Pelodiscus sinensis: one gene and its partners. The protein of the gene in region 1 purifies or fractionates together with the protein of each later gene. This does not show direct contact. Links are inferred from orthologs where the notes say so. Each region holds a gene or a part of one and is shown in the gene's direction. Other genes may lie near its edges.

The links.
Region 2: the proteins of SIRT1 (region 1) and ECT2 purify together in Homo sapiens (affinity purification with mass spectrometry; 3 studies listed by BioGRID). This does not show direct contact. The link is inferred for Pelodiscus sinensis from reciprocal best matches to the Homo sapiens genes SIRT1 and ECT2.
Region 3: the proteins of SIRT1 (region 1) and USP22 purify together in Homo sapiens (affinity purification with western blotting; 10 studies listed by BioGRID and IntAct, with this or other methods). This does not show direct contact. The link is inferred for Pelodiscus sinensis from reciprocal best matches to the Homo sapiens genes SIRT1 and USP22.
Region 4: the proteins of SIRT1 (region 1) and FOXO1 purify together in Homo sapiens (affinity purification with western blotting; 5 studies listed by BioGRID and IntAct, with this or other methods). This does not show direct contact. The link is inferred for Pelodiscus sinensis from reciprocal best matches to the Homo sapiens genes SIRT1 and FOXO1.

Annotation. Positions count from the first base shown.
Region 1 is NC_134718.1:27,706,952-27,713,856, forward strand, and holds the start of SIRT1 (NAD-dependent protein deacetylase sirtuin-1), read left to right. Parts: upstream 1-3,892; 5' UTR 3,893-3,967; coding exon 3,968-4,352; intron 4,353-6,334; exon of another isoform or gene 6,335-6,812; intron 6,813-6,905. UniProt on the Homo sapiens protein: NAD-dependent protein deacetylase that links transcriptional regulation directly to intracellular energetics and participates in the coordination of several separated cellular functions such as cell cycle, response to DNA damage, metabolism, apoptosis and autophagy.
Region 2 is NC_134720.1:40,504,782-40,512,557, forward strand, and holds the start of ECT2 (protein ECT2), read left to right. Parts: upstream 1-4,773; 5' UTR 4,774-4,802; coding exon of another isoform or gene 4,803-4,908; intron 4,909-7,776. UniProt on the Homo sapiens protein: Guanine nucleotide exchange factor (GEF) that catalyzes the exchange of GDP for GTP. Promotes guanine nucleotide exchange on the Rho family members of small GTPases, like RHOA, RHOC, RAC1 and CDC42.
Region 3 is NC_134726.1:32,611,410-32,618,253, forward strand, and holds the start of USP22 (ubiquitin carboxyl-terminal hydrolase 22), read left to right. Parts: upstream 1-3,830; 5' UTR 3,831-4,309; coding exon 4,310-4,435; intron 4,436-6,844. UniProt on the Homo sapiens protein: Deubiquitinase that plays a role in several cellular processes including transcriptional regulation, cell cycle progression or innate immunity.
Region 4 is NC_134711.1:292,069,575-292,077,339, forward strand, and holds the start of FOXO1 (forkhead box protein O1), read left to right. Parts: upstream 1-4,751; 5' UTR 4,752-5,155; coding exon 5,156-5,758; intron 5,759-7,765. UniProt on the Homo sapiens protein: Transcription factor that is the main target of insulin signaling and regulates metabolic homeostasis in response to oxidative stress.

The DNA of each region.
Region 1 (6,905 bases):
TGGGCACAGCCCACTTCTTCAGATGACCAGAGTGTTGAAGTCCAGATCCAAGAATAAATAAGGAAAGACGGGGGGGAGGGAGAAGGAAAAAAATTGAAGGGGAGGAAGAAAAAAAGACAGTGAGTAGATAAGCTTCAAAAGGACAGCCGAGCGAGTCTGTAACAGGAAAAACTTAAAAACCAACAAACAATTGAGGGGTATGTCTACACTAGCTCGTTAATTCGAGCTAGGTAGGCAAATGAGGTGACCAGAGTTGCAAATGAAGTCCGGGATTTAAATATCCCGGGCTTTATTTGCATGTTCCCATCTGGTTGCCATTTTGAAATTTCACTAGCCCGAACTTATTGCCGCGCGGCTACATGCGGCAGTGAAATGTTAATTCAAACTAAGTCCCAAGGAGTAACAGTTAATTTGAACTAAAGACTTAGTTCGAATTAACGTTTCACTGCTGCATGTATCCGCGCGGCAGTGAGTTTGGGATAGTGAAATTTCAAAATGGCGACCAGATGGGAACATGCAAATAAAGTCCGGGATATTTATATCCCGGGCTTCAATTGCCTGCCTACCTTGAATTAACGCGCTAGTGTAGACATACCCTAATAGCATCTTGACTAAATAATTATAAGAGGCTGATAAGAACCATTAGCTTGCACTTGGAAAGGAAAATGAACAACGCCAGATTCTACACAGACATTAAGAACCATTAGCACCTTCATTGTTTGGTTGGTTTGATATCACAATTCAAGCCATTAGTATAAGAATTAAACTTGGGAATGAAGTTAAGCTCCAATCCTTCTCTGTGTATTTGGCTTGTGGAATTGGTCAAACAAAACAGCGACTTGGAGATCCATTAATGAGTGTCCAGGAAGATTACAGTGTTCTCCAACAGGTTTTTATGTGTTGCCTTTTTGGATATCTGATTTGTGTCCATTAATTCTTTCCTATAGAAACTGTCCGATTTGGCCCAATATACATTGCACTGGGGCATTGCTGGCATTTGATGGCATAGATCACATTAGTGAATGTACAGTTAAATGAGCCTCTGTGCCCTAGATCACAATCCAAACCCTTGCACCCTTTCCTACACCCCTTCCTACACTCATACCCCTTACCCAACCTTGCATGCCAATGCACTGAACCAGGTCACAATCCTCTCCTTCACTCAAACTCCCTCCCAGACTTCACACCCCCTCCTGCATCCCAGTCTCCTATCCTGAGCTCCCTTCTATAGCCCTTGACCACTTACCAAATTCTTGGAGTGCTCCCCCATTAAAAATTATTGCTCACCCCTGTGCTGGCTGCTTCTGGAGCACAGCATGGTGCCCCCAGGACAGGCAGGCACCAAGTAGCCGAACCCCAGCCCCCGTCCTAAATCCTTCCTGCACCCCAAATTCCTGTCCCCAGCCTGATAAAAGAGAATGAGGATGGGGAGGGAAGATGGGAGTGAGCAGGTGCGGGGCCTCAGAGAAGGGGCGGGAAGGAGACCAGGAGCCCCCCCAGGTAAGCCTGAGTCGCCCCCCCCCCCACACTCCCACCCCAAAGGAGCCATGTGCTGCTTTAGTTAAGCTGACCTAACTCTTGGTGGTGGCATGATCAGAGTAAAATTCTATCAAACCTAGCTACTGCTGTTAGGGAAGGTGGATATCAGTGGTCACCAACAAGTAGATTAGGATCTACTGGTAGATCTTGGAGCCTTTGACAGGTGATCCTGAGAGGTTTGGCCGGGAGACTATCAAGTGCCAGCACTTCAGCTTCCCCTCTAAGTGCTACCCTGTTGCTCCTTCCCCCAGCCTTGGAACTGCCCCCCACCCATGGGAGCTTCCTGCTTGCTGTGCAGGGCACGGGAAGAAGAGGAAGGGGGGTACTGATCTCAGGGTGCCCCTCCCTCCATCCTGTACCCCATCTCCACAGAGCAGAGGGGGACAGGGGTGGAGAGAGTTTGATGGCTGCTTTTGGGAGTGGTGCAGGACCAGGGCAGGGGTGAGCCTACCTTAGCCCCCTGCACCACCACCAAGAAGCCACCTGTGGTAAGAAGTATCCAGCTGGAACCTGCATTCTGAACCCCAGCCCCCATCCTAAATCCTTCCTGCACCCCAAATTCCTGCCCCCAGCCTGATAAAAGAGAATGAGAATGGGGGAGGGAGGATGGAGTGAGCAGGTGCAGGGCCTCAGAGAAGGGGCGGGAAGGAGACAAGGCAGGGGTATTTGGGTTTGAGGTAGATCCTGGATTGCACTTAAATTCAAAAAGTGATCTCATGTTTAAAAAGGTTGGAGACCACTGATCTACATCAATGAAAAACCCTTTTCCATCAACATATGAAGTGTCTACACTAAGGGTGTGTCTAGACAACAGGGCTTTTTAAAAAGAAGTGGTCTTTTAAAAAACAAAATTTCCCCGCATCTAGACTGCTGATACTTTTGAAAAAATGCAAGTCAAAAGAATGCAGCAGTTTTTTTGATCATGGAATACCTCATTTTACAAGGATTAACGCCTTTTTTTGAAAGTGCTCTTTCTAAAAAAAGGCGCTATGTAATGCAAACTGTGCTTTTTCAAAAAAAGCATCTAGACTGCCAGGGTGCTCTCTTTCAAAAAAGCGGCTTGCTTTTTTGAAAGTACTGTTTGTAGTCTAGATGCTCTTTTTCGAAAGAGGCTTGCAGTCTAGACATCGCCTAAGAGTACCACAGTCATGCTATGCCACAAAACATAGATATGCCCAAAGTACACTAATAGCAATGCCTGTTACTATTTGTAGAAAACCATGACCTTATGAAGAGTGTAACATTCATCGTATTGCCAGCTCATAATTTTATAAAAAGTCTTATAATACTAGATCATCTCCTGCAGGTATATCCTGAGAATCTTAGCTTGTATTTTAAAAAAATTAATGTGAATCTGTAGCCTTAAAGGATACAGAGAAAAGCAGGAAAACAAGAGGCTCAAAAAGCAACAAGGAAAATGTATGAAGCAAATGCGAGTTTCTTTTGGGCTTTTAAAAAGTTTCATTTTTAAGCCACTCAGATTTTTTTAATACACAGGGTTGGCAATTCTCTCTCTCCTTCTTCAACCAGGTTTTCCTTTTTCTCCTACTTTGATGAAAACAGGAATCCCAGTGATTTTAAGCTTGCCTGCACAAACTGGTAACAGTTTAATTGCAGGTGTGTTTTAAAACGGATTTACTTAAATCTGTGCACATTTGCATATGCATACATAATATTTATATTTAGCAGTGGTTTATTTGGGGGGTTAGTTTAAATCTTGCAAAACACAGTTTAAATTAAACAAATACTCAGATGAATAAGCATCTAAAACGATAAACTTTTAAACACACCCTTAGTTAAACTTCTACAGCTCTGGCTGTAATGCAAGCCTTCTGATTTCTTAACACCACTCCCTCCTCCAACTTGTATTAAAAATAGTGGCACCTCCTGTCCGTCCTCTGCAGCCCTCACTGGGCTGATCGCTTTGGGGTGCTCCCCTTCGTTCTCAGCCCCTCTCCCCTACTCTGTGGGACCATTTGCTTTTTCTTTCTCACCTCCCCACCCCTAAGGCCTGCTCCATCCGTGCCCTTACAGCGCTTCCTCCTGCCCCGCACAACATCCCAGCTGCTCACGCCTCCCGCAGCCCCGCCCCTTCCCGCGCTCCCCTTACATAACGCCTCGCACTGGCAAAGCCCCGGCAAGCTACCCCGCTAGTAGGTCACGTGAGGGGGTGGAGGGCATCGGCGAGGTGCGCCCAGCCTTTGTACCGGGGTCACGTGACGGCGGCATTTCCCACCCTATCCCTTCCCCTCACGTGACCCAGTTTGTTGTTGTTGCGGCCTCTGCGGGGAGGGTGCCCGCGTGGGCGGCGGTGAGGTCACGTGCAGGGTTTAAATCTCTCCCTGGAGGGCGGGGGGGATCGGGGAAGGGGGCTGTAGCTGAGGCGCTGGTGCGCCGGACTGGGGGAGGCGGCGGTTGCTGTTCCAAGATGGCGGACGAGGAGACTCTGCTCCTCCAACCGCGCAGCGGCCCCTGTGCCGCAGCCGAGAGCGCCGAGCCCCTTCCTAAGCGCCAGCGCCTGGACTTGGAAGACGGTGCCGGGCGTGGCTCGGTGACGGGCCCAAGCCCAGAGCGAGGCGTTGGGACGGCGCCCACCGCAGGCTCCGCAGCTGGGGCGGTGGGGGGGCCGGCGGCGGAGGGCTGGAGCGGCGCGGACAACGGGGCCGGGCTGCGGGGCCTGCCCCGCGAGGAGCCGCCCCCACAGCAGCAGGAGGGGGAGGGGGCGGAGACGGCGCCCAGTGGAGACGAAGCGGACACGGCCATTGGCTACAGACGGTCGCAGTATTCACACGAGGTGCCTGCCCCGCGTCCCGGTGAGGATCCCCGGCTTGACCCCGTGGCGGGGAGCGGCGCCCTTCCTGCTCCCTCTCCTCGCCGGGGCCAGTGAGAACCCTCCCCTGGCCGCCCGGGCACAGACAGTTCAAGGGGGGAGGCGGCTGCGTTACTCAGTGGGCCTCCCCCTTCTGTGTGACACCAGTCACCGAGGCCCCTGCCCCACCGCGCGCACGTAGCCGGGGGCGAGCCGTCTGCCACGCTCACTCGCGGCTGGGCAGCGTAGGTCGTTCCCTTCCCCCGGCCTGGCGAGGCGCAGTTAACCTCCTGCCCTCCTCCCTACACCGGCTGGGTTTGGGGAGAAGCAAGCGAATTCCTCCACCCGCCACAGAGTCATCTGCTCCGGGCAGGTGTTGAGCAGTGGGCAGCTGACCCGTCACGCTCATCTCCCTATTTGGAGGCGCAATGGAATCAGCCGCGCTTACGGCCCCCATCCTTTTGCAGCAGCATCTTATTAACGGGACACCGATGCTAAGTTTTTAGTTTCGTTTTTTGCACACATAAGCTTGTCAAATGCCCTTTGCGCTCAGTGATGTGCGTTGATTTATGTATGTGTGCGCTCGCTGAGCGTGTGTATTATAGAAGCATGTCTTCTGCTCCATATTGCTACATCTACTTCGGTTTGTAGATATAGAAAAATCGTGTAATTGGCCATTGGTTTGTACTCCTATGGGATTTGTGACAAATTTATTTTTCAACTTATAACTTTTATAGCCTGTACAATAAGTTCAGTAGACACAAAATTATTACACTGCTTCTGGAACTGGAAAAAAATATTACTATGATAATGTAGAGATTGCTAGATTGAAGTTTGAGTGATACTATGTTGATTTCTGTGCTGCTTATTTGTAGATAGTTTTTATGTATTGCATGTGCATCCATTATTCCCAAATTCAGTTTACCCTCTTAATTTCACACTGCTTTTTCAGTTTTATTTCCTGGACTTCTAAAAGGAGACTAATTTAAGTCATGTTGTAAACAAATTTATTTAATAATGTTAATAGCATCCTGTAAGTGAAATTTTTAAAAGGTTGTTTCCTATATGTATTTGGTATTCTTTCAATTTTTGTTTCCTGAAAATAATTTTCATGAGAGTTGTGATCCACTGAGCAAGTCTTGCCAGCTCCTTCTGTAATTGGCCCCAATACTGAGGGCTTTGCCTGAAAAGATTCAGTAAGCATACTAACCTTTCTGGAAACTGCCCTGCTTGAGGAATCACCTGACTGTGCAGAGGGTGGTATAGTTAAACAGGCTCTTCTACTGCAAAAATTTCTCAGTATAATGAGAAATATGGGTAGGGCCTACCAAACTATTAATGATCTAAACCCTAGTCCTTCAAACATTTCCTTAACTTGGTTTAATTTCACTGAGATATATCACATAGCCCTTTTTGGTGAACATAAAGAAATCTATACCAAGGCATGCAACTTGTGTTTGCAAATGTATAAACTATCACTTCTGCTTATTTTATGCATAAATCAGGCTATCTTCCTATAAAGACTTGAGGTGAGAGTGGAAACTGTCCAAACACACAAGACACCATGAGAGGCTAGATTACCAAAATAGCACTCATACTTTTATATTGGTTTCAAATTTTAACTTGTAATACCATGTCTCTTTTAGGGATGTAAGTGACTAGTTGATTATCTGATAAGCATATGCTTATTGGGTAGCCAAGTAGTGACTTGACTAGTCACTCTCCCCCCACTGCCTCTAAGAGAGAAGCAGAAATTGGGGGAGGCGGGGAGGATGGGGAAGGGAAAGCAGGAGCCAGTGCTGACAGGGAGCTGGCTTAAAAGCCAGTTCTCCTCTTCTCTCTCTTCTCCCCCCCCCCCCCAGCACCATTTATAGGGGGACAAGAGAGGCAGAGGCATCGCAGGGACCAGGCCCAAACCAGGAATTAGCTGATTCCCGTCTCGAGACTGTTCCCAGATGCTGTGCCTCTGCTTTTTAAATGTATTAAGAACCACCTGGTGGCTCTTAATACATTTAAAAAGCAGAGCCACAGCGGGGTTAGCTCACTGGCGGGGAATTAACCCTGCTGTGGCTCTGCATTTTCCCCATTTATTGACTCGATTAGCTGCTTGCCTGCAATTTAACATCTCAAGTCTGTTCTTCTATTCCTTAGTTAATAGCTGTAGGGCTTGAAAGATAATCTGCAAAGGAAGATGGGGTTAGGATTTGTACTGCCCTTCTCCTCCTTCCCCCCCACCCCCATAAAAGGGGTATCAACTGCATGTTCTGCTTTTTTTAACATAAAAAAATGAAGACCATGGCCTTATCCAGAATAGGATAAAGAAAATTAAACAATTTGCTTTTTCTTTTAGGAGGAGTTGGGAGTGAGTTACATTTCTTTCCTTGTTCTTCAATTTAAAAATAATCAGACCTGTCAGATCTGGCCTTCCTGGGTTTTGCTGAAGACCTGAGGTTCTAACACCATGGTATACAACCAATTCTGCTATAGCGAACTAACCACGTTCAAGTGGCCAAATACCACATTGTTCAAGCCAAATACTGTAGCCAATAGTGGCTAG
Region 2 (7,776 bases), on another chromosome or scaffold:
CACACACACACAGAAAGGACAATCTCTGATGGTGTACAAAAATTTCAGTTATTTCTAAAGTTTACATGTACTACACACACACAAAAATGACATTCTCTGATGGTGTAAACTGGCACAGCTCTATCAATTTCAATGGAGTAGCATCAACTAATTTACAGGATCACGGAAAATGCTGTGAAAGGCAGCCTTTAAGCAATCACTCCAAGGTATTGCCAAGCATTTTACAATGTTAAATTATCTGTAATAAGAATCATGAATTGTAGTGTCCATAAAATATATGGCATATATATATTGAAGGACTTGACTCTGCAAACACACACACTTTAAGTATACGTGTAAGTGCAGAAATTTGAGGCAAAGTTTGTGCACAAGTGATTCTAGACTTTGCATTGTTTCCATTTGCTACTTCTAGTTTTGATACCGAAATGCCAAACACTAGTCAGAAACAATGGCCATGTTATCCAAGCCCAAAACGGATCTTCTGTGGAGGTATCTTCCAGCTAATTGGCAGAAGTGAAGTCAGCTGTCTTTTGTGGCAGGATTCCCCCATCTTGAAGACCCCAGGGGGACTTTTCTGACCATGCAGAGTCCATGCTGAGGGAGGAGGAGGCAGGATGGCCAGGAAAGGAGGAGTGAGATGGGGGTAGGAGTTGGTGTGTGTGTGTGTGGGGGGGGTGGGGGGCAATATTGTCCTCTCTCTGTCCCTGCAAAATGCACCCAGATAATATATCATATGGACATGCTGTCCTTTCTGTGGACACCCCAAAAAGATCCCTGGGACAACTGTAGCCAGGGAGAGAACCTAACTGCTCACAGCAACTAGCGGACAAAGCCAGCAGCGGCGGCTGGGAGCCCTGGCGCTTTTGAATCACAGGACCCTGGGGCAGTTGCCCCGTTTGTCCCTTACCTTTCCCTGTCAGCGGGCCTGTTTATGTGTGTGTCATTTTAGTAATATCAGTAGGAAAAAAACGTGAACGGAAACCAGTGAAATTTGGCAATCCTGTACATGGACAATAGTAAATAAAATGTCTTGTAGGCCACACACACAACCCTGATAGACCACATGCAGTTGCCCATTACAGCCTTACATGATCTGGTTGGAAGAAATTGGGAATCCATGATTTGGTACAGCAGGATCAAGTCCCAAGATGTTTTTCAGAGTATAAATAGAAACAACAAGCTCCCGCTAATGCTTTTAAATTTTGACAAAAAGCAGAAAATCATCAGCATGAGTGTTGTTATTGTGTGAAATAATAGCTGAGACCACCTATCCAGTTTGCAGGATTCAAACCTTTTACTCATGCACACAGTTCCTACTTACATGGGTCATATGCCTACCAGCCCTTACTCACATAAGCAATCCCTATTACAAGCAATGTCCTCTTTCCTTTGGTCCTTAGGATCTGGTTCAAAACCCTCTAATGTGAAATCACTTTCACTGACTTCAGTAGGCTTGGGATCAGGCCCTAAGTCAACAAGATATCTAAAGTAGTAAGCAGAGCCCTGCAAATCTGCAGCTCATTTTTGCAGATACAGATACAAATTTTGCATCCAGAACTCTACAAATCTGCAGGTACCCACTTTATATAATTTTTCCATATACAGATGTGGATGTGCCATGGTCTTGTAATAAGTATCCCTAATATAAAAAGGATGAATACTATCAAAACATTTAATTTTAGTATATAAGAATTCACCATATAATAATTGTTAGAAGGACATCAGTCAAATTCCTTTTAAATTGTCTGTCAGAATTTATTAAATTAGATTTTTACTAATAAGATGCAGAATACATACAAAATATTACTTTCCAATTCACAAAGGTTTAATATTAGAGAAGAATACAAAATAGGAAAAAATTAAAAGCATTAGGTTTAGTTAATTTTATAACACTTTTGATTCAGTTGAGTCAGCTAACATTCATGTGAACCATTCACATTTCCATTGATCATTTTTCCCTTTGATTTGATTATTCCGAAGCTCATTTTAATCAAAATAATAAAAGACCTTAACATCCTTGAGACAAAGCTTATTAGATTTGTTAATGTGTATTTTTGATGTCCAAAATAAATTTTTATAATGATGTTTTTCATGCCCAATGGTGATGTAGGGGGTTTTGCTGAACAATTAGACAAACATGATCTTTGCCTTGAAGAGACAAATTTAAATATGATGTGTCAACTGACACAACAAAAAATAGGGAGGAAATGGGTGAAAGGGCAAGCTCCCAAGATCAGTTTAAGAATGTAAGGACATTTGCGCCATCAGCATCTTATTGCTTTTGTTGTTGTAATGATTAATACTATCAGGGGTTTAAAATCGGGTTTAAAAAGTTGACCCTGATTGAATCATCTCTGATGTAACACTCCCATTTCTCAGAGGGGTAGCTGTGAAAGTCTGGATCTGAAAAAGCGACAAGGAGTCCTGTGATACCTTATAGACCAACAGATGTATTGGAGCATAAGCTTTCATGAGCATAAGCTTTTCGTGACATGCATCTGACGAAGGGGGTCTTTGCCCACGAAAGTTTATGCTCCAATACATCTGTTAGTCTATAAGGAGCCACAGGAATCCTTGTTACTCCCATTCCTGTACCCCTAGGCTACGTCTAGACTGGCATGATTTTCCGCAAATGCTTTTAACAGAAAAGTTTTTCCGTTAAAAGCATTTGCGGAAAAGAGTGTCTAGATTGGCACAGACGCTTTTCTGCAAAAAAAAGCGTCCGTGCCAATCTTGACGCGGTTTTGTGCAAGAAAGCCCCGATCACCATTTTCGCCATCGGGGCTTTTTTGCGCAAAATAGTTTTTAGCTGTCTACACTGGCCCTTTTGTGCAAAAGCGTTTCCGGAAAAGGGCTTTTGTCCAATCTGGAGCGTGAAAGTATTTGCGCAAGAAGCACTGATTTTGTACATTACAAAGTCAGTGCTCTTGGGCAAAATCAAGCGGCCAGTGTAGACAGCTGGCAAGTTTTTGCTTGCGCAAAATCTTGCCAGTCTAGACCCACCCCTACTGTTTCGTTTTTTTCTCCTTTCATGCAGCTGAAGTGAGTTGTAAATCACAAAAGCTCATATGCCCTAATAAAACTGGCAGGCTGTGTCTAGACTGGCAAGTTTTTCCGGAAAATCAGCCGCTTTTCCGAAAAAACTTGCCAGCTATCTACACTGGCCGCTTGAATTTCTGGAAAAGCACTGATGATCTAATGTAAGATCGTCCGTGCTTTTCCGGAAATATTATGCTGCTCCCGTTTGGGCAAAAGTCTTTTTCCGAAAGACTTTTGCGCAAAAGGGCCAGTGTAGACAGCACAGTACTGTTTTCCGCAAAAAAGCCCCGATCGTGAAAATGGCAATCAGGACTTTTTTGTGGAAAAGCGTGTTTAGATTGGCCACGGACGCTTTTCTGCAAAAAGTGCTTTTCTGTTAAAAGCATTTCTGGAAAATCATGCCAGTGTAGACGTAGCCTTAATCTTTAAGGTGCCATCGCACGCCTTGCTGTTTTTGCAGAAACAGACTAACACATCTACTCTGAAACCTAAGGAACAGACTCTCGGAGGGGTAACCGTGTCAGTAGCTTTACCCACAAAAGCTCATGATTCTATATCTTTTGGCTAGTCTCTAAGGCCGTGGTCCCCAACATGGCGCCCGCGGGGGCATTTGCATTCGCCCGCCAGGTGCTTGGGGCTGGCCTGGCCCCGGGCACATGGCGCACGGGGAGCGCCGGCACCGGGCGCGTGGCGTTTGGCGGGGGGGAGCGCCGGCCCCGGGCGCGGCGCTTGGGGGGGGGGGAGGGAGCGCCAGCCCCATGGCGCTTGGCGGGGGGAGCGCTGGCCCCTGGCGCGCAGCGCTTGGGGGGGAGGGAGCGCCAGCCCCGGGCGCGTGGTGGTTGGCGGGGGGAGCGCTGGCTCCGGGCGCGCAGCCCTTGGAGGGGGCACCGGGTGCGTGGCTATGGGGGGGGCGTGGCTGTGGAGGGGCCCCGCCCCCTGGCGCCCGACAACCTCAAAAGGTTGGGGACCACTGCTCTAAGGTGCCACAGGACCCCTGGGTGTTTCTAAGGAACAGAAATGGTTTCATTCTAGCTGGGGAGCTAGATGTGCCTGGGAAAACATGTATTGGACCCTAAATCTGACTAGCTGCAAAGGGCGGGCAGGAAAGGGTCACTCACAGTTTGCAAGCTGGGGCTCCAATCCTGCACCCCTGCGGGGGCAGCCCTACCGTGCCCCACGTTACACCGGAACCTCGTTTACGGCCCCATCACTCCGCCCTCGTGGACTGACGCCGCTGTGGGCTTGACAGGGTGGCCGCGGCTCGTCGGGGGCTGCAGAGCCAGGGCTGTGTGGGGCCGTGTCGGGGCTATGCTGGGCGGTGACTGGGGGGCGGGGGCAGCAGCGCTGGGCAATGTCGGGCGTACCCGGGCGGGCTCCTCAGCCAGGTCCCAGCTGCGCAGCGCTGCCCCTCAGAGGCTGGAACGATGGGCACGGGCTGACGTATGGCACCGTCTCTTTCAACGGTTGGGCTCGTTTGAAAAGAGCCAGCCGCCAATCAGAACCGAGGTGAGCCAGCGTCCTGTGACCCGTGTTTGGGCAAGCGGAGCTCCCCCTTTCATCCCCACACCTAAGGATTAGGGGAATCGCGCTCGGCCAATGGGCGATCGCTTTGCGACGAGCTGCACGGGCACCGTCCAATAACAGGAAGCCCTTTTCAGAGAGCGACGGGAGGAAGGGAGGGACTTCACGAAGAGAATCCCGCGAAGGACCAATGAGGAAGCGGCTTTCATAAGCACGCCGGCGCTGGCGCCGCCTGGCAACCAATGGGCGGCTCGCTTAGAGCGGCGGCTCGCTTTTTGAATTGGGGTCGGCGGCCGCTGCCTGGAGCTTGGCGGAGTGGCCGGGTTGCGGGTTTGAGCGTGAGGCGCGGTAAGGCCTTGTGGGGAGAGCCCGGGCTGGGGACGCGGGGCCGGGTTGGGCCGCGCCGCATGCAGCGGAGCAGGTGAAGGAAGGGGCCGAGGGTGGGGCTGCCCAGAAGGGGCCGAGCGGAGCCCGGAACCCGCCCGCTCTGGGCTGCGCATGGCCGGTGTAAGGCACATCGCGCCGGCTCCTGGCGGCCTCGGGGTTAGCCCTGGCGAGCGACTCCTTGGCCCCTGCATTCGTCTGAGGAACAGCTCGCTCCGCCCTTCAAAGGCGCATCAGCTGCCGCCTTAGGCGCAGCCTCCGCCTGGGACTGCACCTGCCAGGCGTGTGGCTTTCCAGCCCCCCCCCCCCCCCCCCGAGCATCCCCGCTCTGCCCCGAGCCAGCCCCGTGAGCGGGGAAACCGACCAGGGCCATTGAAGTAGCACCTTGGAGACGAGCACTCTAGTATCGTCCGTTTTGGGGAGGGGGTGGGGGAGCCTTTGTTAATTGAGGGTAACTCACTGACAACCCCGTCTGCATCTTTAACGTCTCAGAGGGGAAGCCGTTTTAGTCTGCAACTTTAAAAACAAGGCGTAGTCCTGGAGCACCTTTGAGACTATGTGTATATATATAAATAATCATGAGCTTTCTTGGGCAAAATCTGCTGCTTTAGGAATGGGAATCCATGTGACCATTAATGGCAGACCATTAAATATGGCTTTAATAGACTCATTTTGGTAGTCTCTGCCAAGGACTACAGGGCATTGCATCCTCCTTTTGATAGGTAACTGATGTAATTCTTGCCTACCACACAGTGGTATGTCTGGGTGGGACTTGATTAATATTTGTAAAATTCTTGGGACTTTTGTGCAACTTTTGAACTGTGAAAGGAATCCCTTTTTGTGGCTATTTGCATTTACTATAGTAAGTTACAGAATTCTCACCCAACATATCTAGATAAAACAAATTTGTTGGGAGGGGGAGGGGAAACTCCTTAAGGGTGATACTTACAGGTTAACTGTTCACATTCCTACTGCAGATAGGCTGACTATGAAAGCTGCAGGGGGTATCCCAAAACACTGAAATTCAAAGTAATGTTTGTGGGGGGAATAATTCCATCTACCTATATTCAGTGATGGGATGGAGGGGCTCTACATTTTTTTGATACCTTTCAAGAAAGAGATCTCGGGGTTCTTCTGGATAGCATTCTGAAAACTTTTGCTTGGTGCATACTAGCTGTCAAAAAGGCTAACAATCTTAAGAACTATTAAGAAAGTGAAAGAAAATGAGATAATGCCATTATATAAATCTGTGTTGCTCCCACACCTTAAATACAGTGTTTGGTTCTGATCATCCCATCTCAAAAAACTTATATAAGGGAATGAGGAAAAGTTCAGAGCGAGCAACAAAGATCATTACACATAAGGAATGGCTTCCATCTGAGGAGAGACTTCCTCTTGGAAAAGAGGAGATGATATATGGAAAAGGAGGGGGGGGAGAAGGATATGATAGATGGTTATAAAATTATGACTGGTGTGGGAAAATGAATAGATAAATGTTATTTATTCTTTCCCACAATACAAAAAATCAGGGCTCACCCAATGACAATAGTAGGTAGTGGGTTTACTACAAAAGTACTTCTTCAGACAATGCACAATTAATCTTTGGAACTCATTGCCATAGGATATTGTGATGACCAAAGTATAACTGAGTTTTTAAAAGGAAAGTCTATTGATGGTCAGAGATGCAACCTCATGCCCTAAACCTCTGGCTGCCAGAATCTGAGTGGGGAAGACTGGTTGATCCTCCAAACTGTCCTTTTCTGTACTTTTCAGAGATGGGATGCTTTGCTAGATCCCTTGATCTGACCCAATACAGGGCATCTCCTCTATAAGAGGGCATCTCCTCTATAAGTCACCTGGTATACATCCGTTCCGCACTAAAGTCATTGACATTTGTAGGAATTGAGGTATTGTAAGTCCTTCCATTTCCCACTCTTAAGTCATGTGTCCTCCTCCCTCCCCCCCAAAAGCGCAAATGGAAGTTAGCCGCAGGAAAAAAGTTCCCTGCTTTAAGTTGTTTTGCTATACGTTCAAGGAACGTAAGTGATTAATTGACTATCCGATAAGCAAAAGCTTATCGGATAGTCAACAGACTATTCTCTTTCTATCAGAAAGCTGCAGCAAAGGGAGGAAAGAGGAAGGGATGCTGGGGGAAGCCAGGTTAAAAACCGGTTCTCCCCAGTTCCGTGGGAGGGAGTAGGGCCAGGGGCACAGGCACAGCGTCGGCGTTCCACCTTTGAAATGTACAGGAGTCCCTGCTGGGGCTCTTGTGCATTTCAAAGATTGAAACGCTGCATGGAGCTTGGGGCTTGCTGGGGACTCAGGCTCCATGCAGCATTTCAATCTCTGAAATGCACAAGAGCCCCTTTTGGGGCTTTTGTAGATTTCAGAGGTGGAACTCCAGTGGCATTTCTGCCTTTGAAATATAGCAACAGCTGGGCGGGCTCTTGCTACATTTCAAAGCGGAAGCACCCCTATTGACTAATTTTATTCAATTAAAATTAGATTAATCAACTAACATCCCTAATCTTGGCTTTACAGCGAGGAAGGCCTGCATGGCAATTCTTATGTTTTTAAATATAAAGACATCTGCAGTGGTCTTAGTGAAGACACTCCTTTACCAAAGGGAGTGTCTCCTGTCTGTGTAGTTAATCCACCTCCCTGTATGTTGATGAGAGAAACTCTCTGTTGATATAACACTATCTACATGTACAGTTAGGTTGTTACAACTACATTGATCAAAAGTGCTGTATTATACCAATCAAGGTCTGTAGTAGAGATGGTAAATATGGGTTAATTGAATAGTCGAGTAATCTCATGAATTCTTATTGG
Region 3 (6,844 bases), on another chromosome or scaffold:
GTGTTTTAAGTATTAATAAGGCTGATATAGCAGTTTCAGCTGAGTTTAATGTTTGGGATCCCTAAATAAGTGCTTAAATAATGATAGCATGAATTAAAAAAGATTGGTAAACCAAGTGCTTCAGCACTATCTTTTTACTGCACAGTCTTCCCACTGCAAGTACAAAAGCAATGTCTTCTGCAGCACCTGCTGTCTGAAACAGCCTCTGGTATCTCTCTACCTTTATCTCTACAAATCTCTGCCAAAAGCCTATCTTTTTCCCTCTTATCTATGCCCGTTGTCTCCCAAAGTGTTATGTAACTTTGTAAGTATATTAACTCTGTAGTGTGTAGCAAATAATGTATGAGAGAGATCCAAATATTTTTGTATTTTTCCACTGGCTTGTTATTTCCTTATGTATTAATTTACAGGATGGGGCTGAAGTAATACCAGAACTAATTCTATCAGAGTACTTCAGTGCCTTACCAATGGAAATGCCATCAAATGAGGTGTCATTGTATTAGGCCCCTTGAATGGTTCTTAGAGGCTGAAAACAAACACGCAAATTCTAAAATATTTGAGCTCAACTTTGGTTTCCCGTGAATATCAAGAAGCTTGAATTCCTAAGGCTCATGCACGCATAGACTTGCAGCTTTTGTGAACAAAACTACAGCCTCACTCTGATTTCAGAGTGTATAATGCATGGTGCTCCCTGTGGCTCGGAGAGGCTAACAAAACAGGGGCTGTATGTATGTAGTTGGGTTGTACAGTTACAAGAGGGAAACCAGAGCACAAGAGAACCTTTTCTATTTGCATGTACTCCTAATTGGTGTGGAGCCAAGGACTGCCAACGTGAATTACCTATAGGCCAGTGCCACCACCAGTTCACTAGCTGAATGTGGAGGGTATTTTGAGCCTGTGGCAGATAGAGCTGCTATGGCGTCGGTGGTGGATGCCTTGGCCTATTGTGGGACAAAGGAACTGTGTGGCCTGTGGCGGGTGCTGAGGGCCCATGGCTGGGTAGGGTGGCTGTGTGGCCTGTGGCGGGTGCGGAGGGCCCGTGGCTGGGTAGGGTGGCTGTGTGGCCCGTGGCTGCGTAGGGTGGCTGTGTGGCCTGTGGTGGGGCAGGATGGCCCGTGGCTGGGTAGGGTGGCTGTGTGGCCCGTGGCGGGTGCGGAGGGCCCGTGGCTGGGTAGGATGGCTGTGTGGCCCGTGGCGGGTGCGGAGGGCCCATGGCAGGGTAGGGTGGCTGTGTGGCTCGTGGCGGGTGTGGAGGGCCCGTGGCTGGGTAGGGTGGCTGTGTGGCCCGTGACGGGGCAGGACGGCTGTGTGGCCCGTGAGGGGGCTGTGTGGTCTATGGCAGAGCAGAGTGGTGTGTGGCCAGTGGGGTGGGGGGCTGTGTGGTCTATGGCAGAGCAGGGTGATGTGGGGCCAGTGAGGGGGGGCGGGCTGTGTGGCCCGTGGCAGAGCAGGGTGGTGTGTGACCAGTGAGGGGGGGCTGTGTGGTCTATGGCAGAGCAGGACGGCTGTGTGGCCAGTGAGGGGGTGGGGGCTGTGTGGCCCGTGGCAGAGCAGGGTGGTGTGTGGGCAGTGGGGTGGGGGGCTGTGTGGTCTATGGCAGAGCAGGGTGATGTGGGGCCAGTGAGGGGGGGCGGGCTGTGTGGCCCGTGGCAGAGCAGGGTGGTGTGTGGCCAGTGGGGGGGGGCTGTGTGGCCGGTGGCAGAGCAGGGTGGTGTGTGACCAGTGAGGGGGGGGCTGTGTGGTCTATGGCAGAGCAGGGTGGTGTGTGGCCAGTGGGGGGGGGGGGCTGTGTGGTCTATGGCAGAGCAGGGTGATGTGTGGCCAGTGGGGGGGGGGGGGCTGTGTGGTCTATGGCAGAGCAGGGTGGTGTGTGGCCAGTGAGGGGGGGGGCTGTGTGGTCTATGGCAGAGCAGGGTGATGTGTGGCCAGTGGGGGGGGAGGCTGTGTGGTCTATGGCAGAGCAGGGTGGTGTGTGGCCAGTGGGGGGGGGGGCTGTGTGGTCTATGGCAGAGCAGGGTGATGTGTGGCCAGTGGGGGGGGGGGGGGCTGTGTGGTCTATGGCAGAGCAGGGTGATGTGTGGCCAGTGAGGGGGGGGGCTGTGTGGTCTATGGCAGAGCAGGGTGGTGTGTGGCCAGTGAGGGGGGGGGCTGTGTGGTCTATGGCAGAGCAGGGTGGTGTGTGGCCAGTGGGGTGGGGGGCTGTGTGGTCTATGGCAGAGCAGGGTGATGTGTGGCCAGTGGGGGGGGCGGGCTGTGTGGTCTATGGCAGAGCAGGGTGATGTGTGGCCAGTGGGGGGGGGGGGGCTGTGTGGTCTATGGCAGAGCAGGGTGGTGTGTGGCCAGTGGGGGGGGGGGGCTGTGTGGTCTATGGCAGAGCAGGGTGGTGTGTGGCCAGTGGAGTGGGGGGCTGTGTGGTCTATGGCAGAGCAGGGTGGTGTGTGGCCAGTGGGGGGGGGGGGGCTGTGTGGTCTATGGCAGAGCAGGGTGGTGTGTGGCCAGTGGGGGGGGGGGGGGGCTGTGTGGTCTATGGCAGAGCAGGGTGATGTGTGGCCAGTGGGGGGGGGGGGGCTGTGTGGTCTATGGCAGAGCAGGGTGATGTGTGGCCAGTGGGGGGGGGGGCTGTGTGGTCTATGGCAGAGCAGGGTGATGTGTGGCTAGTGGGGGAGGGGGCTGTGTGGTCTATGGCAGAGCAGGGTGATGTGTGGCCAGTGGGGGGGGGGCTGTGTGGTCTATGGCAGAGCAGGGTGATGTGTGGCCAGTGGGGGGAGGGCTGTGTGGTCTATGGCAGAGCAGGGTGGTGTGTGGCCAGTGGGGGGGGGGGGCTGTGTGGTCTATGGCAGAGCAGGGTGATGTGTGGCCAGTGGGGGGGGGGGGGGCTGTGTGGTCTATGGCAGAGCAGGGTGATGTGTGGCCAGTGGGGGGGGGGGCTGTGGGGTCTATGGCAGAGCAGGGTGATGTGTGGCCAGTGGGGGGGGGGGGGCTGTGTGGTCTATGGCAGAGCAGGGTGATGTGTGGCCAGTGGGGGGGGGGGCTGTGGGGTCTATGGCAGAGCAGGGTGATGTGTGGCCAGTGGGGGGGGGGGCTGTGTGGTCTATGGCAGAGCAGGGTGATGTGTGGCCAGTGGGGGGGGGGGCTGTGTGGTCTATGGCAGAGCAGGGTGGTGTGTGGCCAGTGAGGGGGGGGGGCTGTGTGGTCTATGGCAGAGCAGGGTGATGTGTGGCCAGTGGGGGGGGTGTGGCCTCCTCTCCAGGGGCTGTGCCCTGCCCCCCCAGGAGGAAGGGGGGAGCCGCCCCAGCGCTCTGTGCTACCCCGCCCCGCTTGCAGGAAATCACTGGGGTAACAGAGAAGCTGCAGGGATAAGCGGATATGACAGCAGCCCTGCCCCGCAACGCAACCTGATGCTGTGGGCGCTCCACCCTGAGCGCCCCGTCCAGCCAATCCCTTCCCCGAGCTGCCTCCCCACGGCCGCGCCGGGGCCAATGCGGCAGCGCTCATTGCAAGAGGGGCCCCGCCTCTCTCGTCTCATTGGCCCGCTTGCCCTGCCCATCCCCTCCGCAGCGCCCGCCTTTTCCCGCTGGAACGTGTGGAACAGGGCGTCGCGCCAATGAGGCGCCGGACGAGGCGTTGCCCAAGCCTGGAGTGACAGGCCTGGGACCAACGGCCGCGCGCCCCCCCCAGCCTCCCTCCCCAATGGTGGCGGGACAGAGGGGCAGGCCCACACCGCCTCCTGCCCCTTCCCTGTTGGTCGGCCCCACTCCGGGCCTGGCGGGCTAGGTTGAGTTCGCAGCAAGGGCCATTAAACGCTGTGGGGGGAGGGGGAGCGATTTAAAGAGACAGGAGCCGAGCGGGCGGCCGGCTGGGGGAGCAGCAGCGGACGAGCCCCCTCCCCCCCGCGGCAGCACCTCCGCCGCCAGGGTCTCCCCGAGCCCCGCCGGCTCCCAGCGGCCTCCATGAGCTAGCGGCAGCGGCGGCCACTCCGGGGGCGGCAGCGGCCGCCGCCTCCTCCTCCTCCGCGCCAGCCCCATCTTTGTGCGCTGCCGCCCGGCCGCCGCGCTTTGTTCGGCGCCGGGGGGGAGCCCGGCCCTCGGGGCGAGCCGCTCCCCGCGCCCCGCTGCAGCTCGCGGGGGCGGGGGAGGCCGCGCCGCCGCCGGAGCCCGCGGCGGGCGGCGTGAGGGGGCCGGCGCCTGGGAGCGCGCGAGCGGCTGCGGCGGCCCCGTCCCGTGTCCGTGCGGCTGCCAGGGGGAAGGGGCCGGCTCGCTGCCCGCCGGCCCGGCCCGTCGGCGGGCGGATTGATGAGGGGGGGTCGGACATGAGTCCGCCGGCCGCCGGGTGCTGCCATGTGACCGGCTTCAAGGTGGAGAACTGGAAGCAGAACCTGCGGGCGATCTACCAGTGCTTCGTGTGGAGCGGCTCGGCCGAGACCAGGAAGCGCAAGGTACCGGGGGTGGGGGGGCAGGGCCACACCCCGCTCCGCCCCACCCAGCGGGGCCCCGGCCCCGATCCCGCCCGCCCCGCACCCACCGGGCCCGCCCTGGGCTCTCCCGCGGCGGGGAGGGGGGCTCCGCGCTGCTGGAGCGGGGAAGGGGCTGTCGGGGTCCCGCGGGCAGGGAGAGGCACCGTTCAGCTCACGGGAGGGGAAGCAGGGGATCCCCTTAAACACCTGCCCTTGGCGGAGGGGCAAGCTTGGGAGGGGGCGGCTGCCGCAAGGGCTTTCCTGGCCTATGCAGGGGTGGGAGGCTGGACCGAGCGCCGCCGCCTCCCAGGTGCTGGGGGGAGTGAGGGTTTCCCGGAATCAGGCAACTACTGCATTGCTTGTCTGCGGGGGAGGGAGCGCTCCCAGGGCAGATGGGCATGGCCGGCCTGCAGCCGAGCTCTGGGCACTGGGAGGCAGTCTCCTGCAGAGAATAGGCTGCTTCCGATCACGGTCTGGTACAGTAAGTGACAGGCTGGGATAAGGAAGGCGAAAGGGAGAAGTGGATCTTTAATTCCCAGTGTCACCCTCTAGTAAACTATTGCATGTAGCTACAGCATAGGTACTTAAGCAAATAGAGTGCAGCCTTTGGGAAGCATGGGATACACAGGCTGAGGTTTGTCTTGCATCTAATTTAAGGAGCAGTATTGGGGGGAAAAAGAGAGAGGAGCTTGCAAATCATGCTTGCACATAATGTGTATTTAGGAAAGGCTTAAAGACACAATGACTGGAAATAAGTCTGCAGATTTTTGTGTCTGTGGAATGCCTTTTTTATGATTTAATGCATCCACTGGTAACTGAATCAGAAAAAGATTCCTAGTGTGGTGTGAGGAAGGTGGGAAATAAAGAATTTTATGCACCGGAAAAGTGAGAGCATTTTGCTCTTTCAAATGTGTAGTGAAAGTACTGCACAAATAGTAGCATAATGAATATGTTAGAGAAGACTGATGGGCCATATTTGTATAAAACAAGCTAATTACTAAGCTAATATTTTAAAAATAGGTTACAAAGACATGTTTCTGGAAAATTGATCTGTTAACTGTTCACAAATTCTTTTCCTTTGAATCAACTAGTTCTTCAAAGTGACTTTGCAGATTTCTCTCAGTGATCATCTTAATGACTAAAAAGGGTACTGCAACTGCAACTCAGACAGCAAAGCTTTCTCTTCAGGACAGCAAGGATAAGGCCTAATGAAGCAATCAATTACATCTCTTGTAACTTTATTTCATTAGATTATTTAAATCACTCAGACAAGTAGAGCTAGTTATAGAATGAAAGACACAATATTCAGAAATTAGGTAGATTAAAAAGGCTTGTGAAAGTTGTGTTCATAGAATCATAGAGCTGGAAGAGACCTCAGGAGGTCATCAAGTCCAGCCCCCTGCCCAAGGTTGTCTCTTTAAAAAGAGACAGCAAATCGGACATTATTTAGTCATCTAATATTCAAGCAGTATTTAATCTAGCTACAGGCATATTTGAATATTTATGTTCCTCTTGTAAGTGAATGTAGCTTAATACTTCAGTAACAAACTTTTTTGTACCCTGTAATAATTCAAAACACAACTTGTTATATGAAAGATAATGACTTAAATGAAAACATACATTCGTGATGATTAGTTATGTCCAGTATACTGTGATACACAATAGGCAAAGATGACGTAAGAAGACTGAACAATATGAGATAATGGGTCTTACTGCTAGAGTGACAATGTTTTGATTAACAACATGAATATTTCCTGTCTTTTCACATTGAAAGTACTTTTAAGAATAGTTCATTTTGAATGACTGTTCTATGAATTGGAAAATAATTTTATATTCCCCTGTGGTATGTTGCCACATCCATAGCATTGCTTTGATATTAAGACTATGCCCCTCCATGTATATGAGTGCTAGTTTTGAATCCTCATCAGTATATAGCGATAGATAGAAAAATGACTTCAGAAAAACTGGACCTTGGTTTTCTCAAATTATGGCACTGGTATTTTTTCTGCTGAAAACTCAGTCACAAAATCTTACTTGTTTATTGCTGTAGAAATCATGTACAATTACTGTCAGGTTTTATATTAATATGAAGATTCATTGAATAAACCCTGCCTTGGTAACACGAATCTACCATGCAAACTGTCTTGCACAGTTGGTTATCCAGTGAGTGATCATCAGTCGGTCATTCTTTAGGTTTTTCAGACACTAATCTTCTACCTTTACTTTTGGAAGGATGAGTCTTAAAAATCCAGATAGCAGTAGAAACTGCAGAGGGCAGAAACAGACCACTTCTGCAGCTTTACTAGGTTACTTATATTGCTTGCTGCATTATGTTTTAAAAGACCATTTCAGCACTGCTTGTTTTTTGCCATTTGTTTTCAGTCTGCTCTT
Region 4 (7,765 bases), on another chromosome or scaffold:
GAGAGGAGCCAGTTTAACAACCGGCTTCCCATGCAGATTGGGTCTTGCCTGCCATGGGGTAGCAGCAGCTCCTGTCTGCAGGGAACCTGGACCTCCTGCGGACAGGGGCTGCTGCTGCGGAGCAGTCTCTGTCTGCTGCAAGTCCAGGTCACCGTGGACAGAGGCTGCTTTGTGGCAGCCTACCCATCTCCGCCCCCGTGCTGCTGTCTCTGATACAGGCAGCAGCACAATGGGGGCAGCGACAGGTGGCACCATGGAGCTGATGCTTTTAAGCTGGATCTCCCCACTCCGCTGCCTCTGTAGCAGGCAGAAATAAGGGGGCAGGTGGGTATAGGGAGCCTGCTTGAAAGCCAGCTCCCCAAGCATATTGGCTCTCGTCTGCCCCTCTCACCCTCCACACTGCCGCCTCTCTCAGAAGCAGCAGCACCGGGGTGGGGGCAGGTGGATCTGGTGCTTGTAGTGAGCTCCTCTCGGGCTCCCGGTTCCATCCTCCCCCCCCCCATTGCTGCCTGTGATAGAGGCCGCAGGAGGTGGGGAAGTACGTGTAGTTGACAAGATTAACCGATAAGCCTAGGTTTATTAGTTAATCGTGTAATCGTCTACAAGTTGGCATCCATAATTGTAATGCAGGTGTGGGATGAAGACCAATGGCTCTAGAACTTTAGGATGCACAAAGCAACCTTTCTAGAGCCGTGTGTTCAGCTGACCCCCAAACTGCAGTGCAAGGACAACTGAATGAGAAATGTTCTCTTGGTAGAGAAGAGTGGACAACTACTGTGGTTGAAACTGGAAAGTCCCACTTGCTACTGGTCTGTAGCAAATCAGTTTGGAGTGGGGAAATTTACCATTAGAGCTGCATTTCTGCAAGTGTAAAGAACAATAAATCACATTCTGCTGCAGAGGATTGTGAGGGTACATCTATCAGAAAAAGACACGCAAAATGCGCTCTGATACTTTTGTTGGAAGAGGCTAGTCTAGAGCCTGTTGAGGCTGTGCCAGATTTCTGAAACCCCCCCTCTTTTGAAAGCCCCCTTCTCCCTCGTGGAACGAGGAATACAGGGGCTTTTGAAAGAGCACGTTTGCTCTTTCGCAAAAAAAAGTGGAAGAGCAAATGCATTCTCTGGACGTGGAGGAGTTTTTTCGGGATACCTCTGGTATCCCAACCCCCTCCCACCCGCAGTCTAGCTGTACCCTGATTCTGGGAAATGTGGATAACTTTGCAGAGATCGGCTTTCCAAAGTGTGGCAAGGCAAGACATGGCACATATATTGTCATTATAGCGCCACTTTGACAACAAAGGATGCTGAAATGTCTCTCTCTCTTGGGGTTGCTTCCCTGCTGCATCCCATTCCTCATCCCAAGTACTGTGATGCATTCCATGAAAGGGATTTAACATCCTGTAGTTGGAGCCTAAATGATTGATAGTTAAAATATAAAATATAAATACAGAGGCAGCAAGGGGGACAGGAATGCAAGCAGTCGATAGGATTAACTGATAAGTCCAGGCTTATCGGTTAATCGTGTAGTCAACTACACATTGACATCCCTGCTACGTATACCCCATTATGGAACATCCAGTCACAGGCAACAAACAAGAGGTTCTAGCTCAGATAGCTACAGTACGTACTATTGTCTTAGTTTACAATGCAATGTGGCCTAATAACCAAAATCCTGCAGTAGGTATGGAGCAAGGTAGAGGGACCTGGTCCCATTCTTCAGTGGCTCCCTGTGAATGTAGTTGTCCAGGGTTCAGCTCAGTTTCTCGTTTTAATGTTCACTTTCCCTGGGTCACTTCCTACCCTGGGTTCCTGCTTTATCAGTTTTTCTGGCTCACTCTTGTCCTCAACAGCTTGCAGGGTTCCACCATCAATCACACTAGTTTGGCCTCTATAGTGCCATCCACTCCCTGGCGGAAGCCAGCAACATATATCCACTCTCTTCCTCAACCAGCACAAATTGAGCTGGGCCACTCCCTTTTATATCCTGTCTCCAGGTTTAGCAGGCCCAAGGGGGACGATGGGGTGTGGCCTCTTCAGACTACAAAGTACATTTGACCCTTGATGGGTCAGTGCAGGGTAGATACACCCCATCACACCCATCTTAACTCTACTGACTTCATTATTATCCTTCCTGATCACAATCTATTTTTATAAGAGCAATGAGCTACATTGATTCAAAGATAAAGGCCACAGCAACAGAACTGCTGGCTAGAAGGGGAAAGCAACCCTGCCTTAGTGGAGTTGTTGATATTCAACACCAAGTGCTGAGGTTAGTAACATTTTAGGTATCTGGCTTTGTATTACATCTAATCTTTTTTTTTTTTTAAACTCACAGTTGGAAAGAAACAAGAAGTCATAATGCTCAACTACCTAATTAGGTACATCCTTTGTTACAATATTGTGTTTAAAGGGTGGGTGAAAGGCAGCCACCCCTAACCCTAATTCTTTAGTAGCCAGGATCCAAGAATGCAGGATTTTATCCTGTTATTTTTAGCTAGCAAAACGAATATATAAAAATGTAAGGATCACTAAAGCTCACATCCTTCAAATATATAAAAATAAAATTATGAGAATTAAGGATGAATTGTCACTGCTACTGGTGAATTTTGTAAGAAATCTGTAAGGACAAAATTTGAAGTTGCCAATTTTATGTAGTGTTGAAATGCAGTCATGCATAATCCTTTGTGATCTTTTCTCGGTAAGAAAACATCTTTCTTTTAATTTTAAATAGAATTTAAACAGCTGTGTTCTTTGGAACATACTGCCCTTTGTATGTACATCCCAGAACTGATGTCTCATTGGGAGGGGAAAGAAAAGCCCTATTAAGTTATGTGGCCTTGGAGTTTGCTGGGAAAAGCAATATTAAATGTGCTTTAAACTTAAAAATGTAATTATCTCAAGGTCACATACTCACACACAATATAAAATATAAATTCTGCAAAAAACAGAGGCAACTTAAGCCAATGTTCACATCTCTTGGCAATGTACACCAGCCAATAGGGAAGATGGTGAAGTCATACCATCACTTTGGTGCTCACTCCTCTCGTGTTGCTTTCACAGCTAAGCAACAGCCAATTGTCAGGAAAAACAGAATATCTGCCTATGTTGGAAGAATTGTCTTTTAATTTATCCAGTAGATTTTGTGTGCATGAGGAAAGGACATTTAATCATGCTTTTGTATGTTCTAATCTAAATCAAGGGCTAGCTCAGGCTGACAAGACTACAAAGAGTCTCTTCTGCTGATGTTGACAGTTCTGTCAGGTGGGCGGGTGGTGTTCAGTGGCCTTGTTGCTGCTTACAGTTGTCAGTCAGCAACAGCAAGTAGTCTGGATCTCCATGTGGTCAGACAGAAATCCAAAGCCAGGATAGACCGTGGTAGCAACAGAGCTGTCTGCATGCATCAGATCAGATATTTCATAGTCTGACACTGCTGGCAAGAGTTCTCTCTCTTAAGGGGGGTTGTGGTGTCCGATTTTACCAGCCCTAAAACCAACTGTACATTAATGAGCTCTCAGGGAAAGCTTTTCCTTTCAAAATAAACCCAGACAACAAAGACCATCACCTCTTAAGAGAAAGTAGAGGCTACTACATCAGAATGATGATTTTGGTAGTAAATAAACTGATAGAAGGGGAGGAGAGAGATGTGTCTGCTTGTCTTTATCTGTCTTTCCTTATCTACTTTAGGTACTTGTATAGCTTCCATAGACTTTGAATACCTCACAACCCTTAAAGAGACAAGGTGGGTATTTATATTTTATATTTAACTATAAAAAGAAAATGATACTGTTTTGGGTTTCCTACATAATTTCTAGGTAAGTTTCCTGATTTTTTTTCTTCCAGTAGGTGGGTCCATAGGATGATTTCTTGTCTGAGTCGACATATTCTAGATTACATGAGTTGCAGTAAATGGTTCTTCAGTTTTTCCAATAAAACTTTACCACACCCACCCTGTCTTTTAAATATCCAGGACCAACAGAGCTACCCGTTATTGCATATCACAGCTCTTAATGTCTCAATCCTTACAACACACCCCTCTAGGCAGGGAAGCGCTACCACGTCCATGTAACACAGAGGGAACAAGGGGTAAGGGAAGAGTTTGTAAATGGGGTGCCAACAGCCATTGAAACAAACTGTAACGTCTGAATATGATGGAAACTCCTAGCCAGGGGGCGCGGCAGCACTCCTAGCTCCAGCATCTGGAAACCCAGACACGGCCAGAAAAGTGATTTGTAGTAGCTCAAGGTTTGTGACAGAGCAGGGATTCAAATCCAGGTCTGGCATGCCCTGATGTACCTCCCCAGCCTAGACCGCCGCTGTGTTACTAATGTCCATGCGTAAGAGCCAGAGAATGGATTGCAAGCAATACCTGGAATGCCTGGCAGTGAGAACTGCCACTTAATGAATACAGGGTAGCAGCCCAGGGGCAGCCCGCCTAGGAATCAGTGCAATGTGCACGCAGAGCAGAAAACAAACTATGGCAGCCAGGCGAGTCCCGCTGCTGCAAACCCCTGGAGCAAACTCCAAAGCTGCTTCTCTGCTCTTTGTGTAGTAAACAAACCCTGCTCCGGCTGCAAGCACCACACGGCCGAGCCAGGCTCACTCTCCCTTCAGTGACTTACCAGCAGCCACACACACAGCCCTCATGGAAAATTGGCCTCTGAATAATACGACAGGCAAATCGTTTCCTAAGCGGCGTGGGGCGCCCATTGGCTCGGGCGGGCCCGTCAATCACACGGCGAAGGACGGGGGAGGAGGCGGGCCGCGCCGCGGCTGCGGGGCGGGCGGGAGTTCCAGTAAGTCAGCGCCGGGCCGCCTGAGTCGCTGCTGCCACGGCCGCGTCCTGCACACTCAACAGGCAGCTGCGCGACCAGGGGGAGCAGCCGGGCTGCAGCCGGCGGCCGCGCTGAGCCCTGCGGACCCCACGGCCGAGCTGGCGGCTGCCCAGCGCCCTCCCTCCCCGGGAGCTTGGATATGAAGTGGCGGAGCTAAGTGTCCTTCTCCCTCCCCCTCTCCGGGCTCCCCTCCTGCCCCGGGGCTCCCGCCCCCTCAACTCCGCTCGCCCCGCTCCGCTCCTTCCTCCGGGCTCTCTGCCTGCAGCCTCCCAGCCGGCTCCCGGCTCCCCCTTTTCCGGAGCTCGTCCCCTCCTCACCACCACCATGGCTGAAGCGCCCCAGCTCGTGGACATCGACCCCGATTTCGAGCCGCTGCCCCGGCCCCGCTCCTGCACCTGGCCCCTGCCCAGACCGGAGTTCAACCCGCCTAGCTCGGCCACCTCCAGCCCGGCGCCGTCCTGCGGGGGGCAGCCCGATGGGGCCGCCGCTGTCTCGTCGGTCAGCGCCGATTTCATCGGCAGCCTGAGCCTGCTGGAGGAGAGCGAGGACTTCGAGCCGCCGCCACTGCCCCCGGCCGCCGCGGGTGCTGCAGAAGGGGCCGCTGCCGGTGGCGGCTGCCTCTGCGGGGACTTCCAGTGCCAGGAGGCCGGCTGCCTCCATCAGCAGCAGCCCGGCCCGCCACTCCAGCAGCAGCAGCACCCGCCGGTGTCCGCCCTCTCCTCGGGTCCCATCCCCGGGCAACCCCGCAAGAGCAGCTCGGCCCGCCGCAACGCCTGGGGCAACCTGTCCTACGCCGACCTGATCACCAAGGCCATCGAGAGCGCCCCGGAGAAGCGGCTCACTCTGTCCCAGATCTACGAGTGGATGGTCAAGAGCGTCCCCTACTTCAAGGATAAGGGTGACAGCAACAGCTCGGCCGGCTGGAAGGTGAGGCAGATGGGTAGGGACTGGGAGTGCCTGGGGAGAGCTGGCCGGTGTAGTGGCAGGAACGGGGGGGCTTGGCTTTCCCCAAATCCCGTCTTTCAGGGGAGGTTAGGAAGCACCTTCCAGGGAGAATAGTGATAGAAATGTAGCCGTGTTAGTCTGGGATAGTTGAAGCAAAATGCAGGACAATGAGGCACTTTAAAGACTAACAAGATGGTTTATTAGATGATGAGCTTTCGTGGGCCAGACCCACTTCATTGTCCTTTTCATATGTGTTCATTTTTTTAATTGTATCCTTTGGTATATATGGTTGTGACTACTTTCTTCCACTATTTGATCTGAGGAAGTGGGTCTGGCCCACGAAAGCTCATCATCTAATAAACCATCTTGTTAGTCTTTAAAGTGCTACATTGTCCTGCATTTTGCTTCCAGGGAGAGGCAGCGCACACCCAGCCCCTCTGCAGCCTAGCCCGGCCGGTACACTCCTCAGTGCCGGGTGCGTGGGGATTGCAGAGCATTGCAGCCTCCTAGTGATCGGGGAAGCAGGGCAGTTGCAAACTCTGCACCCGAGTAAGTGAAGAGCACGAAGGTAGGGGGCAGCGTAGCGATTGGCAGGCTGCCCCCTGTCCTCGCTGGCTGTTCACTGACACTGGGGTGCCGAAGCTTAGGCAGGCAGGCTCGGTTTGCAGGGCGGCCGAATACTTAAAAAAAAGGGTCCCCTTTCTCTCCCCCAGTGAGTTGGAAAGCCACTAAGGAGGGGGCGGGGGAGGGGGTTGCATGTGTGTGCGGTGACCCCGGGAGCGAGGGGGTTCCTGCCATTTTCCCGGGTGCCTTAAAGAGCAGCCGAAGTTGCGTGTGCCGGGTTTGTAACTTAGCAGCCAACCGGCTGGGAACGGGCCCTGTGGAGACTCGCTGTGTCATTTCCCTTTGCAGACTTGGGACGAATTTAAAGTGACAGATTCAAGGGCTAGCCGAGAACTAGAGAAACGCAGCGGCAGGGTGCCACGTCCTGGGGGCGGTAGGGCAGCAGACACTAGCTCATTTTGCCTGCTCTGTACCCGGCGTGGAGCTAAAGTTCAAGCCTGCCAATGCGTGCAATGCATTTAAAGGGCCGGTGTCTCCAGTTTCATGCACAACAGGTCAAATCCTAAAACATATGGCAGCACTGTGTGAGACCTTCTCCTGTATGTAAGTAAGGGAGTTTGGAGTCCTTTCCAGTACAAACATTAATTACAAGTTAAACTTATGGATGGAATTTGTTCCCCCCCCCCCCAGGGTCACTGAGCAGGAGAGTCCTAGTGCTATTTCAGGTTTAAGATATAAAATCATCTTTTCATCCCATTGTTCATTATGTAGTCAGGCATGTAATACGTGGCTTTACTGAAGAAAACAGGCAAGTCCTTGCCCCAAGGAATTTACAATCTCAAGTCAGACTGACCGAACAAAAGGGGGGGAGTCATAAAGTAAAATGGGGAAAGGGCATAGGTAGGTCAAGGGTTATAGTAACAGTGCATGTTTACCAAGTGAGCTGTGTATTCAATGTAATGTCTTTGTTAAACTTTGTTTTTAATTAATGGGACTCTGTTTCCCTCAGAATGAAGTTTGTATGTCTAGAAGTAGCAGATTGGTAGGTGACCAGTTTCCATCATAGGATTTGCTATTCTGTCTTGTACAGAGGAATTGGATAGCAAGTTCACACTATCTCTGCAAGGAGTCCTGATTCCAGCCTTAGGACAGGAGTGAAGATAATAATAAACCACAGAGTTCTGCTCTGTGAGACTTCTAAGGCTGTTCAGTGGTGGATATGTTCCGTTTAGCAAATGGCATGATCTTTCTGTCACTTCACACATTACCAGCAACTCTAATATAGCAGATTGCCTAACCATCACTAGAACTAATGGCTGACTTTTAATCAGTTACATTTTTTCCAAGACTAGCTGTTAGAATGAGATTGCAAAGTGCCACTTGTCTGAATACACAGATTATTAATGCACCACTTTTTTCATAGTC